Saccharomyces cerevisiae S288C: one gene and its partner. The protein of the gene in region 1 interacts with the protein of each later gene in a pairwise test. Each region holds a gene or a part of one and is shown on either strand. Other genes may lie near its edges. The genes, in order: SGV1 and BUR2.

What was found.
Region 2: the proteins of SGV1 (region 1) and BUR2 interact in binary tests that used the Saccharomyces cerevisiae proteins (3 or more experiments, as listed by UniProt).

What each region holds. Positions count from the first base shown.
Region 1 is NC_001148.4:862,156-869,767, reverse strand, and holds SGV1 (cyclin-dependent serine/threonine protein kinase SGV1), read left to right. Parts: upstream 1-3,345; coding exon 3,346-5,319; downstream 5,320-7,612. Other genes in the region: TIF3 (Tif3p), read left to right, coding at 1-1,123; ORC4 (origin recognition complex subunit 4), read left to right, coding at 1,464-3,053; GPH1 (glycogen phosphorylase), read right to left, coding at 5,754-7,612. UniProt on the Saccharomyces cerevisiae protein: Serine/threonine-protein kinase component of the BUR kinase complex involved in transcription regulation.
Region 2 is NC_001144.5:586,415-593,135, forward strand, and holds BUR2 (Bur2p), read left to right. Parts: upstream 1-2,939; coding exon 2,940-4,127; downstream 4,128-6,721. Other genes in the region: UCC1 (Ucc1p), read left to right, coding at 50-1,159; YLR225C (uncharacterized protein), read right to left, coding at 1,281-2,504; ADY4 (Ady4p), read right to left, coding at 4,148-5,629. UniProt on the Saccharomyces cerevisiae protein: Component of the BUR kinase complex involved in transcription regulation.

The DNA of each region.
Region 1 (7,612 bases):
GCGTTCAGGCGGCTTTGGTGGCAGTTTTGGAGGTAGATCTAGATTAGACCCTGCTTTGGGGGGCGGTTCTTCCGATAGAAGAGAGGAATACCCTGTTCCAGATGCTCCACCATATAGGGCTGTCATAAACAACATTCCATGGGATATTACCCCAGAGGGTGTTCAAGCCTGGGTTGAAGATGGTTTAGTTAAGCCTGAAGCGGTTGAAGAAGTTGTTTTGCCAAAGAATCTAAGAGACCCAACAAGATTAAAGGGTAATGCTTTCGTTACTTTGAAAGAAAGAGCAGATTTGGTCGCCGTTCTGAAGTTCAACGGTACTAAATTGAATGAGAGAACTGTTTACGTTTCTGTTGCGGCTCCAAGAAGAGGGGGAGGTGCAGATGTTGATTGGAGTAGTGCTAGAGGCTCCAATTTCCAAGGTGATGGAAGAGAAGATGCACCAGATCTTGATTGGGGTGCCGCTAGAGGTTCTAACTTCAGAGGTCCAAGAAGAGAAAGAGAAGAAGTTGATATTGACTGGACTGCTGCAAGAGGTTCCAATTTCCAAGGCTCTTCCAGACCACCAAGAAGAGAAAGAGAAGAAGTTGATATCGACTGGAGCGCTGCAAGAGGCTCCAATTTCCAAGGCTCTTCCAGACCACCAAGAAGAGAAAGAGAAGAGCCAGATATTGACTGGAGTGCAGCTAGAGGCTCTAACTTTCAAAGCTCCTCGAGGCCACCAAGAAGAGAAAGAGAAGAGCCAGATATTGACTGGAGTGCAGCCAGAGGTTCCAACTTCCAAAGCTCCTCAAGACCACCAAGAAGAGAAAGAGAAAAGGAAGAACCAGCTTTGGATTGGGGTGCTGCCAGAGGTGCTCAGTTTGGTAAGCCTCAACAAACCAAAAATACCTACAAGGATAGGTCTCTAACTAACAAAAAGACTACTGATGAGCAACCAAAAATCCAGAAGTCTGTTTATGATGTTTTACGTACTGAAGATGATGATGAAGATGAAGAGGCTGAAAAGCAAAATGGAGACGCAAAAGAAAACAAAGTTGATGCGGCAGTTGAAAAGCTACAGGATAAAACTGCTCAATTGACTGTTGAAGATGGTGACAATTGGGAAGTTGTTGGTAAGAAATAGAGTGTTGTATGATGATAAAATGTACATTTGTATTTACTGTTTGCTTTTTTTCTTTCTTGTTTTTCTACTCTCCTTTCTACCAGGTATTCTAACTCTATTATATAATTAAAAAAAAAATAACCATATATTTTGTATTAAGTTTCATACATGTGTTCAAGTGTATTTTTGGATTTATCATTTTTCTATGTGAGGTAAGTTTTTGAATGTCCCATTTTCCTTTCGTTTTTGGAAAGTTCTAAGAAAAAGCATTAACAATTAAAAAAAAAAAAAAAATCTAAATAATACTGATAGAAATATCAAATATAAACTACTAATATCGGTAATATTCAAAAGAAGAAGCATGACTATAAGCGAAGCTCGTCTATCACCGCAAGTCAATCTTCTCCCAATAAAGAGGCACTCAAACGAAGAGGTAGAGGAGACTGCAGCGATTCTAAAAAAGCGTACTATAGATAATGAAAAGTGTAAAGACAGCGACCCTGGTTTTGGTTCCCTTCAAAGAAGGTTACTGCAGCAACTTTATGGCACACTTCCTACGGACGAAAAGATAATCTTCACATATTTACAAGATTGTCAACAAGAGATCGATAGAATCATTAAACAATCCATTATTCAGAAAGAGAGTCATTCAGTAATTCTCGTGGGGCCCAGACAAAGTTACAAAACATACTTATTAGACTATGAACTGTCTTTGTTGCAACAATCTTATAAAGAGCAGTTTATAACTATCAGGTTGAATGGGTTTATTCACTCCGAACAAACAGCTATTAACGGTATAGCAACTCAATTGGAACAGCAGTTGCAGAAAATTCATGGCAGTGAAGAAAAAATTGACGATACTTCATTAGAGACTATTAGCAGTGGTTCTTTGACAGAAGTGTTTGAGAAAATTCTTTTACTCTTAGATTCGACCACGAAGACAAGAAATGAAGATAGTGGTGAGGTTGACAGAGAGAGTATAACAAAGATAACAGTTGTTTTTATATTCGATGAAATTGATACATTTGCTGGGCCTGTGAGGCAAACTTTATTATACAATCTTTTTGACATGGTAGAACATTCTCGGGTACCTGTTTGCATTTTTGGCTGCACAACGAAATTAAATATCTTGGAATATTTAGAAAAGAGGGTAAAGAGTAGATTTTCTCAAAGAGTGATTTATATGCCGCAAATACAGAATCTAGACGATATGGTTGACGCCGTCAGAAATTTACTTACAGTTCGCTCTGAAATCTCCCCCTGGGTTTCACAATGGAATGAAACGTTGGAAAAAGAACTATCCGACCCTCGATCGAATTTGAATAGACATATTAGGATGAATTTCGAAACCTTTAGGTCATTACCTACATTGAAAAATAGCATAATTCCATTAGTAGCGACATCCAAAAATTTTGGTTCACTCTGCACTGCCATAAAATCGTGTTCTTTTCTTGACATATACAATAAGAACCAACTATCTAATAATTTAACAGGAAGGCTCCAATCTTTATCCGATTTAGAGTTAGCCATTTTGATCTCAGCCGCTAGGGTTGCCTTAAGGGCGAAAGACGGATCTTTTAATTTTAATTTAGCTTATGCAGAGTATGAAAAGATGATTAAAGCTATCAACTCCAGAATTCCCACCGTGGCTCCTACTACAAATGTGGGAACAGGTCAAAGTACTTTTTCTATCGACAATACTATCAAACTATGGTTGAAAAAGGACGTCAAGAACGTTTGGGAAAATTTAGTGCAACTGGATTTTTTTACCGAGAAATCAGCCGTTGGTTTGAGAGATAATGCGACCGCAGCATTTTACGCTAGCAATTATCAATTTCAGGGCACCATGATCCCGTTTGACTTGAGAAGTTACCAGATGCAGATCATTCTTCAGGAATTAAGAAGAATTATCCCCAAATCTAATATGTACTACTCCTGGACACAACTGTGAATCTTGGGAACAATATACAGACATTTTATTGGCGGTAGCAACTCTGATATTCCACTGTTCAGCTTTCCTAATAAGTAAGTTCAAGATTATGTGGTCATCGCGTCGAACGGAAATACACCCATACACCAAACCTCTGTGAATTTGAAAAATTCACATATGCATTTAATAGAGCATAGGCAATGTAGAGAGAGAAATTAACAATGGTGAAAAGAAATATTACCAAACACCAGCAAAAGAAATTGTATAGTATTAGCAGTACATTCGTGGTCAAGCAGAATAACAGTAAAATAATATGAGTGATAATGGTTCCCCCGCGGTTCTTCCAAAAACCGAATTTAATAAATACAAAATCGGCAAAGTGAAGAGTACACCAGCCATCCAGCGAGATGCGAAGACTAACTTAACATACATCAAACTAAGAAAAAGAAGTAGTGAGAAAGTTTACGGGTGTACAGTTTTCCAGAATCATTATCGTGAGGATGAAAAATTAGGACAAGGAACATTTGGTGAGGTTTATAAGGGAATTCATTTAGAGACTCAAAGACAAGTGGCAATGAAAAAAATTATAGTTAGCGTTGAAAAAGATCTGTTTCCTATAACTGCACAACGAGAAATTACTATTTTAAAGCGTTTAAACCACAAAAATATTATTAAACTAATCGAAATGGTGTATGACCATTCACCGGATATTACAAATGCGGCATCCAGCAACCTACATAAGTCATTCTACATGATCCTGCCGTATATGGTAGCAGATCTGTCGGGCGTTTTGCATAATCCGAGAATCAACTTAGAGATGTGCGATATAAAGAATATGATGCTACAAATATTAGAAGGCCTAAATTATATTCATTGTGCAAAATTCATGCATAGGGATATAAAGACAGCAAATATTTTGATTGACCACAACGGTGTTTTAAAGCTTGCTGATTTTGGTTTAGCAAGATTATATTATGGCTGTCCTCCAAACTTAAAGTATCCTGGTGGTGCAGGTTCCGGCGCCAAATATACATCAGTAGTCGTAACGAGATGGTATAGAGCACCTGAGTTGGTGCTTGGTGATAAACAGTATACAACAGCTGTTGATATATGGGGTGTCGGATGCGTTTTCGCAGAATTTTTTGAGAAAAAACCTATTTTACAGGGAAAAACGGATATTGATCAGGGACATGTTATTTTCAAACTACTTGGTACACCGACAGAAGAAGATTGGGCCGTGGCTAGATATTTGCCAGGTGCTGAACTAACAACAACTAATTACAAGCCAACGTTGAGGGAAAGATTTGGTAAATATCTAAGTGAAACAGGTCTAGATTTTTTAGGACAGTTGTTAGCGTTAGATCCTTACAAGAGGTTGACCGCTATGTCTGCTAAACACCATCCTTGGTTTAAAGAGGACCCTTTACCATCAGAGAAGATAACATTACCGACGGAAGAAAGTCATGAAGCTGATATTAAGAGGTACAAGGAAGAAATGCACCAATCATTGTCCCAAAGAGTACCTACTGCGCCAAGAGGTCATATAGTTGAAAAGGGTGAATCACCTGTCGTGAAAAATCTTGGGGCGATCCCAAGAGGCCCCAAGAAAGATGACGCAAGTTTTTTGCCTCCATCAAAGAACGTATTGGCTAAGCCGCCTCCTTCGAAAATAAGAGAACTACATCAAAATCCTAGACCGTATCATGTGAACAGCGGATATGCTAAAACTGCGATTCCACCGCCAGCAGCCCCTGCAGGAGTTAATAGATACGGACCCAACAATAGTTCCAGAAATAATCGCTTCAGCGGCAACAGCACTGCACCCAACAACAGCAGGAATCCCGTAAATCGATTTCATCCTGAGACAAATGTCAGCTCTAAATATAATAAAGTACCTTTGCCATTGGGGCCTCAGTCAAGATACCAGGGTAATTCAAATGAGTCCCGGTACAAAAACTCGCCAAATGACTCTAGATATCATAACCCTAGGTACGTGAACAAGCCGGAAACCAACTTCAATAGGCAACCACAGAAATATAGTCGCCAAGAATCCAATGCGCCAATCAATAAAAATTATAATCCTTCAAACGGTTCTCGCAATATGGCTGGTGATCATCATCAAGGCTCGAGACCTTCTCATCCACAATTCCCAATCTCGCCCTCACAGGGGCAGCATCAGCTTACGAGTAAACCAATAGAGAAAAAAAATGGAAGCTTTAAGGATGAAAGAGCGAAACCAGATGAGTCTAAGGAGTTCCAAAATAGTGATATTGCAGATCTATATTAGGTTATACTATTCTCTCTTCCTTTCTGGCCTCGTGGCTAATTACGGAAAGTTGTATACTGACTACTATGTAATCTATCACGTTTTGTCACTGTCTCGCTCTTTTCAAACAATCCATAAAATCGAAACTATTGTCAAAACGTCAGTACATCCTACCTGATAGGGACTGTACCAATGTCAACGTTCGAGTAAGTGATAATAAGGACCGCCTTACCCACCTTCAGGACACTCGGTTTTACACAAGCGTTATCCTGCGCGGATTTTCAATATGAAAACAACTAAGTTTTCCTGTAACATCATATATACCATTTAAAAGAGTGCCAAAAAACCGATAACGATTATTTTAAAGGCGTTTTATATAAGAGAAGAAGTAAAGAGAAAAAAGCGCTTACTAGAAATGGGGAGAAGGGTGCCAAAGAGATAAAAAAAACTCCCAGCTAAGTCACTGGTTCAACGTTCCAAATGGTATCGGAGTATTCCTCGATACAACGATCACTGCTAAAGAAGCCGACGTTTGCAACGCTCAGGACACTCTTTTTTAACCATTCTGACCTTTGATTGTGGAACTCCTGGTCCACTAATTCATGGGTGGCCAGATAGGATTCAAAGTCATCACTGACCAGGTAATAATCGCCGTGGTACTTAATACTGTCGACTAAAGGTTTGAATTCATTTGGATTTTCTGGAGAAAATTGTCCACTTTCAATGTAGGATAAAACAGAATCCAAACTAGATGGTAAATCTTGTGGATGGTATTGATGGTTGTATCTCAATTCTTCGACATTTTCACTTAGGTTACCAAACAAGAAGACATTATCTTCACCAATTTCCCTTGTGATTTCCACATTGGCACCATCAACAGTACCAATAATCAAACCACCGTTCATAACAAACTTCATATTAGAAGTACCAGACGCTTCAGTACCAGCAGTAGAAATATGCTCACTCAAGTCACTTGCTGGAATAATGATTTCAGCCTTAGAAACATTATAATCAGCAACAAAGACAACCTTCAACAAATGCTCAATTGACTCGTCGTTATTAACAATGTCAGCAACACAGTTGATCAATTTTATGATCAGCTTAGCCATGTAGTAACCAGGAGCACTCTTACCACCAAAGATTGAAACCTTGCGTGGATATTTCTTGGCAACTTCTTCGATCGAAGCACCGTTCTTCAGCATATTCTTCATTGCCAGGTAACGGTATATAATACCAAAGACGTTTAGCTGTTGACGCTTATATTCATGAATACGTTTAACTTGCATATCAAACAAGGTGTCGTCCAAATACTCTCTGTTAATGATGTCTACTCCATCATTTTCCTTTTTGATTAAATCTACTAATCTGATCTTATTATTAAGCTTGACTTGGTTCCATTTTTTCAAAAACTCCTTATCTTCAACATATTTTCCCAACTGGGTCAGTTTGGCCATGTCCAACAAATACTCCTCTGTTGGATCGTTAAGGGTTTCACTGATCAGTTTAGCCAATGAAGGGTTAGCTTGCTTCAACCATCTCCTTGGTGTGATACCGTTAGTGACATTGACAAACTTTGATGGACCATAGAACTTGACAAAATCTTTAAATATGGTCGTTTTGATTAATTCAGAGTGCAATTCAGCAACACCATTAACCTTGTGTGAACCAACAATAGCCAAAAAGGCCATTCTGATCTGTCTTTCTGGAGAGTTTTCTTCGATGATGGATATACGAGACAAAAGATCAACATCCTTGGGGAATTTTTTGGCCACATCTTGCAAGAAGAACCAGTTGATATCATATATAATTTCCAAATGTCTGGGTAGCAAATGGCCAAAGAGGCCGACGGGCCATTTTTCCAGGGCCTCTTGCATAACAGTGTGGTTAGTATAAGCAAAAGTCTTGGTCACGATGTCCCAAGCCTCGTGCCAATCTAGTTTTTCTAGATCGACCAAAACTCTCTGTAATTCAACGATGGCTAAAGTTGGATGAGTATCATTCAACTGAATAGCCACTTGGTCAGGAAATTCAGTCCATGGCCTCTTGGATTTTTTGAATCTTCTTAAGATGTCGTGTAAGGATGCAGCACACCAGAAGTACTGCTGTTTCAACCTCAACTCCTTACCTTGAGCAAAGTTATCGTTTGGATACAACACAGCGGTTATAGACTCTGCGCGTTGTTGCTGAGCCACAGAGTTTTTATAGTCACCATTATTGAATTTTGCAAAATCAAATTCTGTTGTTGGCCTTGCTTGCCATAGTCTTAAGTTATTTACATTGGAAGTCTTGAAACCCGGAACTGGGAAATCATACG
Region 2 (6,721 bases), on another chromosome or scaffold:
TTTGTACTATGCCTATTGGCGCAAAGAAGACAGAGTGTGCAAACAAGAGATGAATCAGAGCGATAGCAGCTTGATGGATTTACCACTGGAGATACATTTATCATTACTAGAGTACGTGCCTAATGAACTTCGTGCTGTCAATAAATACTTCTACGTTTTGCATAACCACAGCTATAAGGAGAAGAGTTTGGCGTGGATAGCTGAGGACAACTATATATGGGCCGTTGTCAAACATTCATTATGTTTATATGTCAAGAGTTTGGACCCACTTCGACAGCATGCCAGAGAAATCATTCAAGAAACGAAGGAACCAGGTTTTAATGTGCCACTGTGCATGACTAAATACATCGCAGATTCTTGGTATATTGTATACAATGCGCTGCAATATCCTGGAAAGATAATTAATATGGGATGGGACAAATATACCAAAAGTCAAGATTCAAATGGTTCTGATTCTACCAGTAACTTTAATAGTCGGCCCAAGGAAAGAACTCTTATGCAGTCGTTGACAGCTTTACCTGTTAACTTTTGGTCCAGGAGGAAGGACGAGCCTACACCGGTAAACGTTTGGTTTTATGTAAAAAATGCGCACGTTGCCAGATACATACCGAAAATTATTACGGAAATAGGCATATGCAACTATGGGCCGAAGCAGATCGTGGCAAGTGCAGGATATATCAACGAATTGATAACATCTGAAGGAATATACTGTGTTAACCTAGGCCACCTTCCCAGGCTATACGATGAGCAAATTTTTGAAGGCACTGGAACGACACATCTTCCCCTGGAACTGAAAGCTATCGACAGGACAGATTCAGATGTTTGTATCAATGGTGATTTAGTTCTACTCGGTTATGACTTTATTCCATATCAGATATCGAAGCCGTGGTTACTCTTTAGAATCGAACCCGTAAATAGCATTGAAGCAATCTTCAACTATAGTGAATGTTCTTTTTCATACCAGTTTGCATGGAGTTTGGCCTGCTTACAATCTGAAGAGAAAATTTCATTTCCTAGAGACACGATAATTGGGCACGGTTTACCTTACAAGCCATCCAAATTGATAAGAATTTTCGTCTACAAGCATCCGGAACAAAAGCAAGATCTTGGTCAAGAAATAGCATTGCCCAACTGGAATACCCCTTATCTTCGAAGATGAAAAAAAAATTTATCAATTAGTCTATAATATATGTGTATATACGTCTATGCACCTACCTACTTATAAATGGATATAATATTCTTGCAATGATGAAAATATGTATAGTCAAATTTCATTTTTTTCAATTGATAAATGTACTTTCAATGATGGAAACTCCTTCATCGTCATCGAATTTAGACTTCTGGCAGAATTGGTAAATGAATGGCTTCATGTTTGCCAGATTTTCAGCAATAGACCTAATGAAAGCGGGCAGCTCACTCATTATATCGTACCTATTGACTAATCTTAAATTAGATTCTTCAAAACCACGCGGAAATGAAATGGATGTAGGATATTTCCAACCATTTTGCTTATCCTCTTTTGTAGATGGAAATTTAACAGCATGATCATTTACACTTGACCCGACCTCCAAAATTTTGTCCTTATCACTAACCGCCCATATAGTCACTGTAGTGCTGCCATATTCTTTTGTTGTGGTGAATTCAATACACATCATCGAACGCTTCTCACCATTGAAACAAAGAAAATTCCATTTACTAGCCGCCTTATTGGGTATTAGCCCCTGGACAGCATCCAGATACAACATAGGCGTGTCCTTCAAGTCCAGCTTCACAGGTTTATCGTTTTTCTTGTATGAGATGGTACCATTGCAAAAACCTCTAGGAACAAAAACATGTCTTATCATTTTTCTGGACGTACTAGAAGAGTCTCTTTTTGCTAACTCTTCCAAGCTGATGCTCTTGTCAAGGTAATAATTGGAACCGTCCGGGTTTATTATGAATCCTTCTTGTAAATTTACGGTAATGTCAACCTTCAAATCTTTTAGTAAACAGCTTGTACTTCCCTTCGGAATATCTATCTTAATTAATAATTGAGCAAATCCACTGGAGGAAGAATTTTCCAAAGGTACGAAGTGAAACGTAACATTGTCCGATTCAACTTTTAACGTATCAAAATCTTTGATATTATCAATTTTAAAGCTTTCCCATATATCAATGTCTTCTTCAGAGTTTTCCTCACTGCTGGCTTTAAATATTTTGAAATTTAACTGAAAACCTTTGTATATACCGCCCATAACACTGGAATATAATAGTTGAATTAATCCACATTTGCCGTTGGTGAGATCCGTAAAATACAGAGTTTGTGTCTCTATTCTTGTTTCCGTTGGATTTCTTACTGCTTTTAATAAACTATGTGACTTGAACTTTTTGTGATTTGACGTCCTGCAAAACCATTCTAGTTTCGATGTATCCTGAAATTTAGTATAATTAGCATGATCCTTCTCGGATAAAACTTCCTTAACGGGGGCAAATTTCGTCTTCTCCTTTTTGATCGCAACCGCCATTTTTTCTTTGCTCTATGATTTTTATGTTAATTAAACTGTTCGTTGCCCTAAAATTTTGAAAATTTCTCGAATATTTAGAGAGAATCCGTCACTATTTTAGTATCTATCTTGTCTATTTATATATAAAATCTCATTCCCCTGTTATGGTTTTTGCCAAGCCCTATCCCAAAAAACCAAATGATACATGATAAACCTATTTATCCTCTTTAACAGACCTATCGTTTAAAGCTTTTTTATTGCAAACCCTATTCATTATGGCTTTTTGACCTAGGTCTCATTGTGACTTCTATTTTTCACTGTTCAGTAAAAAAAGAAAAGTGATTAAAAAGTATCACTATTTCTGTTAGAAAGCAAGTAGCTATTTTGATTGGTAATTATATACACATATTGAAGGAGGCCGTAGTATTTTCGTTTAAAATATATTACAGTAAGATAATGTCTGCTACATCTTCAAGTGGTGACGTGAAAAAATTTCAAGCTGTACCAAAACCAACGAGCAATGCATCACCACCACCAGCATCGAGTGGGTTTAACGCAAGGACCCTATGGCCGGATTTGATAGAAACACCAGAAAACCAGTGGGTTTTTGAGTGCAAAGATATTATTGAAAAGATAGGCACTAATGGACCGATAGCAGTGGAAATAAAAAAAAATATGGAAAAATGCTTAATGTACTTTTACACACTTAAAAAAAAATTAAATCTTTTTGATCACACCTATACGGCATCATGCATTCTATTTTACAGGTATTGGTTCATATATGGAATACCTACAGCCATAACTGAATGTATTCATATATCACAGGGAATTCTGGTCACCGCTTGCAAAACAATGGAGAATAATAGGCCTATAGAGGCCTATATTAAGGCGACTTGTGAGTTTTTGATGCAAAATATACCGTCTTTAAAAAGTCGAACAAATATTGATAAACTTAAATGGGAATTTAGAGATAAGTTAGTGACGAATGAAAAAAAAATACTATGTTTATTTGGCTTTGACTTAAATATCAGTAATCCAAAAGAATTGATTGAAGAAGTGTTCAGTGGCTATTATAGATTCAACAGGGATCACAATCTGCCAGAAAACTTTAAAAAAGCTTTTCCAAAAATTCTTCAAGAATCAAGAAATTTTATGGTCCAAGCTGTCACCCAGCCAGTTTCTTTATTGTGCGACGGTTATACGTTCATTGTACTATCTCTCATATACTGTGGTTTAGAGTATAAAAAGCTTGTAGACAAAGATTTCAGATATCCGAAAAACTTCTTCAAGGATAGATTCCCTATCGAAGTAACGCCGGAAAATTTTGCCAATATCTTTACCGATTACAAGTTACTGGAAGAGAATTTTTTCAACTTAAAAAGTAATAAAGGTGCTAAATTACAAATTGATTCAAGCATGATTGATTCGGTGATTGACGAAAGTGGCGATGTGGAAAATGAAGTTTCAGAAATCTCTGATCCGTTTAACTACGAGTTGATTAAATCCGGTGAGGTGAAGGAAGAGTTTTTGAATCATATTGAAACAAGGGTTAAAGATTTACTAGATAAGGCTAAACAAGAAAGTATGAAGAGAAAGGCTAAAGATCCTATAAGAACCCCAGATGCCAAAAAACCTAAAATATAAAAATAGAGTACAAGTTATGTTTAATTGGAGGGATCAGTAAAGGTTTGATATATACGTGACAAAATGTCCGGCAAGTTCCCTATGTTATCCTGATAGCAATATTTCCAATACTCAATCCAATGATCATCTGTTTCTGGATCTTTAGGTGAGTCAAAGCGCAGTTTCTGCTTCAATTTTGTTTTCATCTTGTCTATTATTATTCTGGGATGTCTGAATTGGTAAGTTCGGGGATGATAATCGTCCAGAGATTCTGAACAGTCATTATCTTCGGATATTTTTTCAGCAACAAGTAATTTCCCCTCCATAGCAGTCAACAGTACCTTAGGTAGTTGGTAGTCAGTTACTTCATCAGGATTGTCACAAGCATCAATAATATTTTCGATGATACATAAGCATTCTATGGTCAATTTATCCATTTCAGATGATGCTTCGAATGTGTATTCATTATCTTGCATATAGTATAGTTTTAATACATAAAAAAACTGGATAACTTTAAATTGAACACCTGATGAAAGTAATAAGCCTTCCAGAATTTTATTCAAGCAGCATATAATCTGAGGGTCATTTTTAAGTTTGAAAGTTATTGACAGAATATTTTTTTGAATTGTTTCATTCATGTGGTTACTATCTACTAATAGTCCGATTCTGGGACCGAACACATCACATTCACACTCCCAAATTTTTCCTCTCAGAATGGCTAACATTTCTTCGATTTCTGCACAATACTGAAAAAACTGACTAAAAACAAAATTTTCATTGACCTTTGAAAATTTAAGCGTTATCTTATCCATCGCATCGAAAGCGACGCAGTATAACGCCTCAATAACATCTACCTCGTCGAGTGACCAGTGCCATTGAAGTGACTTGGTCTCCTCATTTAAATCGAAGCCATGGGAATAATTAGGGTTTTGTCTTTTGATAAAATTTTTTAGATTATTGCCTACCAATGCTTCATTTTCTTTCAAATCAATTAGAAAACAGTGGCAACACAACATGGATATAAATAGTTCGCAAAGTTCATAAAAAGCTCCAATTTGCTCGTCTGCGATACTTGCAAATAGTCTTGTCCTTTTTGAGTACGCAATGAATTGTAAGCACCAGCGAAAAGATTGAAATGCGAGGTTATAATTTTTATCTACATGACCAAATACTCCTTGAAATAATTTTATATATAGTACCAGTTTTAATTTATTCATTGTCTCTGGATCGGCTTTATCTTTCTTCATTATCTTGATGATATGTTTTGGACCCATCGCAAGATTAAAGTTTAAAATTTTGGCCAGCGCTTCTTTCAGAAGGTTATTGGTTTGAATCCTTAATGGTGAACCTTTTTTCATGATCGAAAGATTATAAAAAACTACATGGTACGGAATATAAAGAGCCAAAAAGTCCCTTATCAAATCACCATTATATGCTTGTAAATTTAGGATAGTCTTCACAGCTTTTTTAAATTCTTTTCTTAAACTTTTTTTAAAAGTTTGATAGTCGACGTCTTTATTCATTATACGTGAGCCGACAATTTGTGACTATGATCAATAAATAGGGCATATATGTACAATTTTGTTTGTATTTCCTCCTGTTGGAGATGAGTAGTAACATAATCATGGGTAAATCGTCTTCTCTGTGACAGCGCAAACCTTTACGCCCAATAAAAATTTGACAGAAAAATTCTCTATAGTGCCGGGGCACTTCATTCAAATTTAGTAAATAGAACTTTTGTGGCAATGGACAGGTTCAGCTACTGCATTTCATATGCGAATTCGCTGCTATACCAGTTTTGTGGCCCCAAAATCACCCGGCAGACAGGGTCTGGTAACACGTCATAATTCTTTCCCTACTTACGAACGTAAAGGAAGCTTTGCCAACTTTTAGAGAAATGGCTACATTAATTATGAACTGGAGTGAAACAACTGTGCTAAAATGATACGATCTAGTAATTTATAGGAAAAAGTAAAGATGGCAAAAAACAAAAAATAATGAGAGCTAAGGGATTCGAACCCTTGCATCCGAAGATATCAGAGATTTTAGAGGTTAAACCCACCTAAATCTGACGCCTTAAACCACTCGGCCAAACTCCCATTGTATGTTGAAAACGATGGATTATACAAGCCATTGGGTTAGCCATTTATTTCTAAAGTCTTTTTCTTGGCTGATTACTTATTAATGAGAAATTGGTAAAGTTTGACATAATTGTTGGGATTCCATTGTTGATTAAGGCTATAATATTATGTATAAGAATAAACTAGAAGTTCTCCTCGAGGATATAGAAACTCTCAAATGGAATCGATATTTCTACACAATAATATTACGATTATTTCTCCTTCCGTTTTATATTTTTCATTATCTTATTACATTATCAATCCTTCCATTTCAGCTTCCTTTAACTTCGGTTGCATCTTCTCATACCTTATGTCATCATCTAACTACCCGTATATGATAATATACGCGTAGTAAGACTACTAGTTAATGACGATAGTTGATTTTTATTCCAACAATTAAGTTAGCAAATGTGGGAAAGCATAAATTATTTGGGAAATGCATATATCTCCGCGATTTCCCTAGCTTAGGAGCTCTTTGGGATCGATATCATTTTT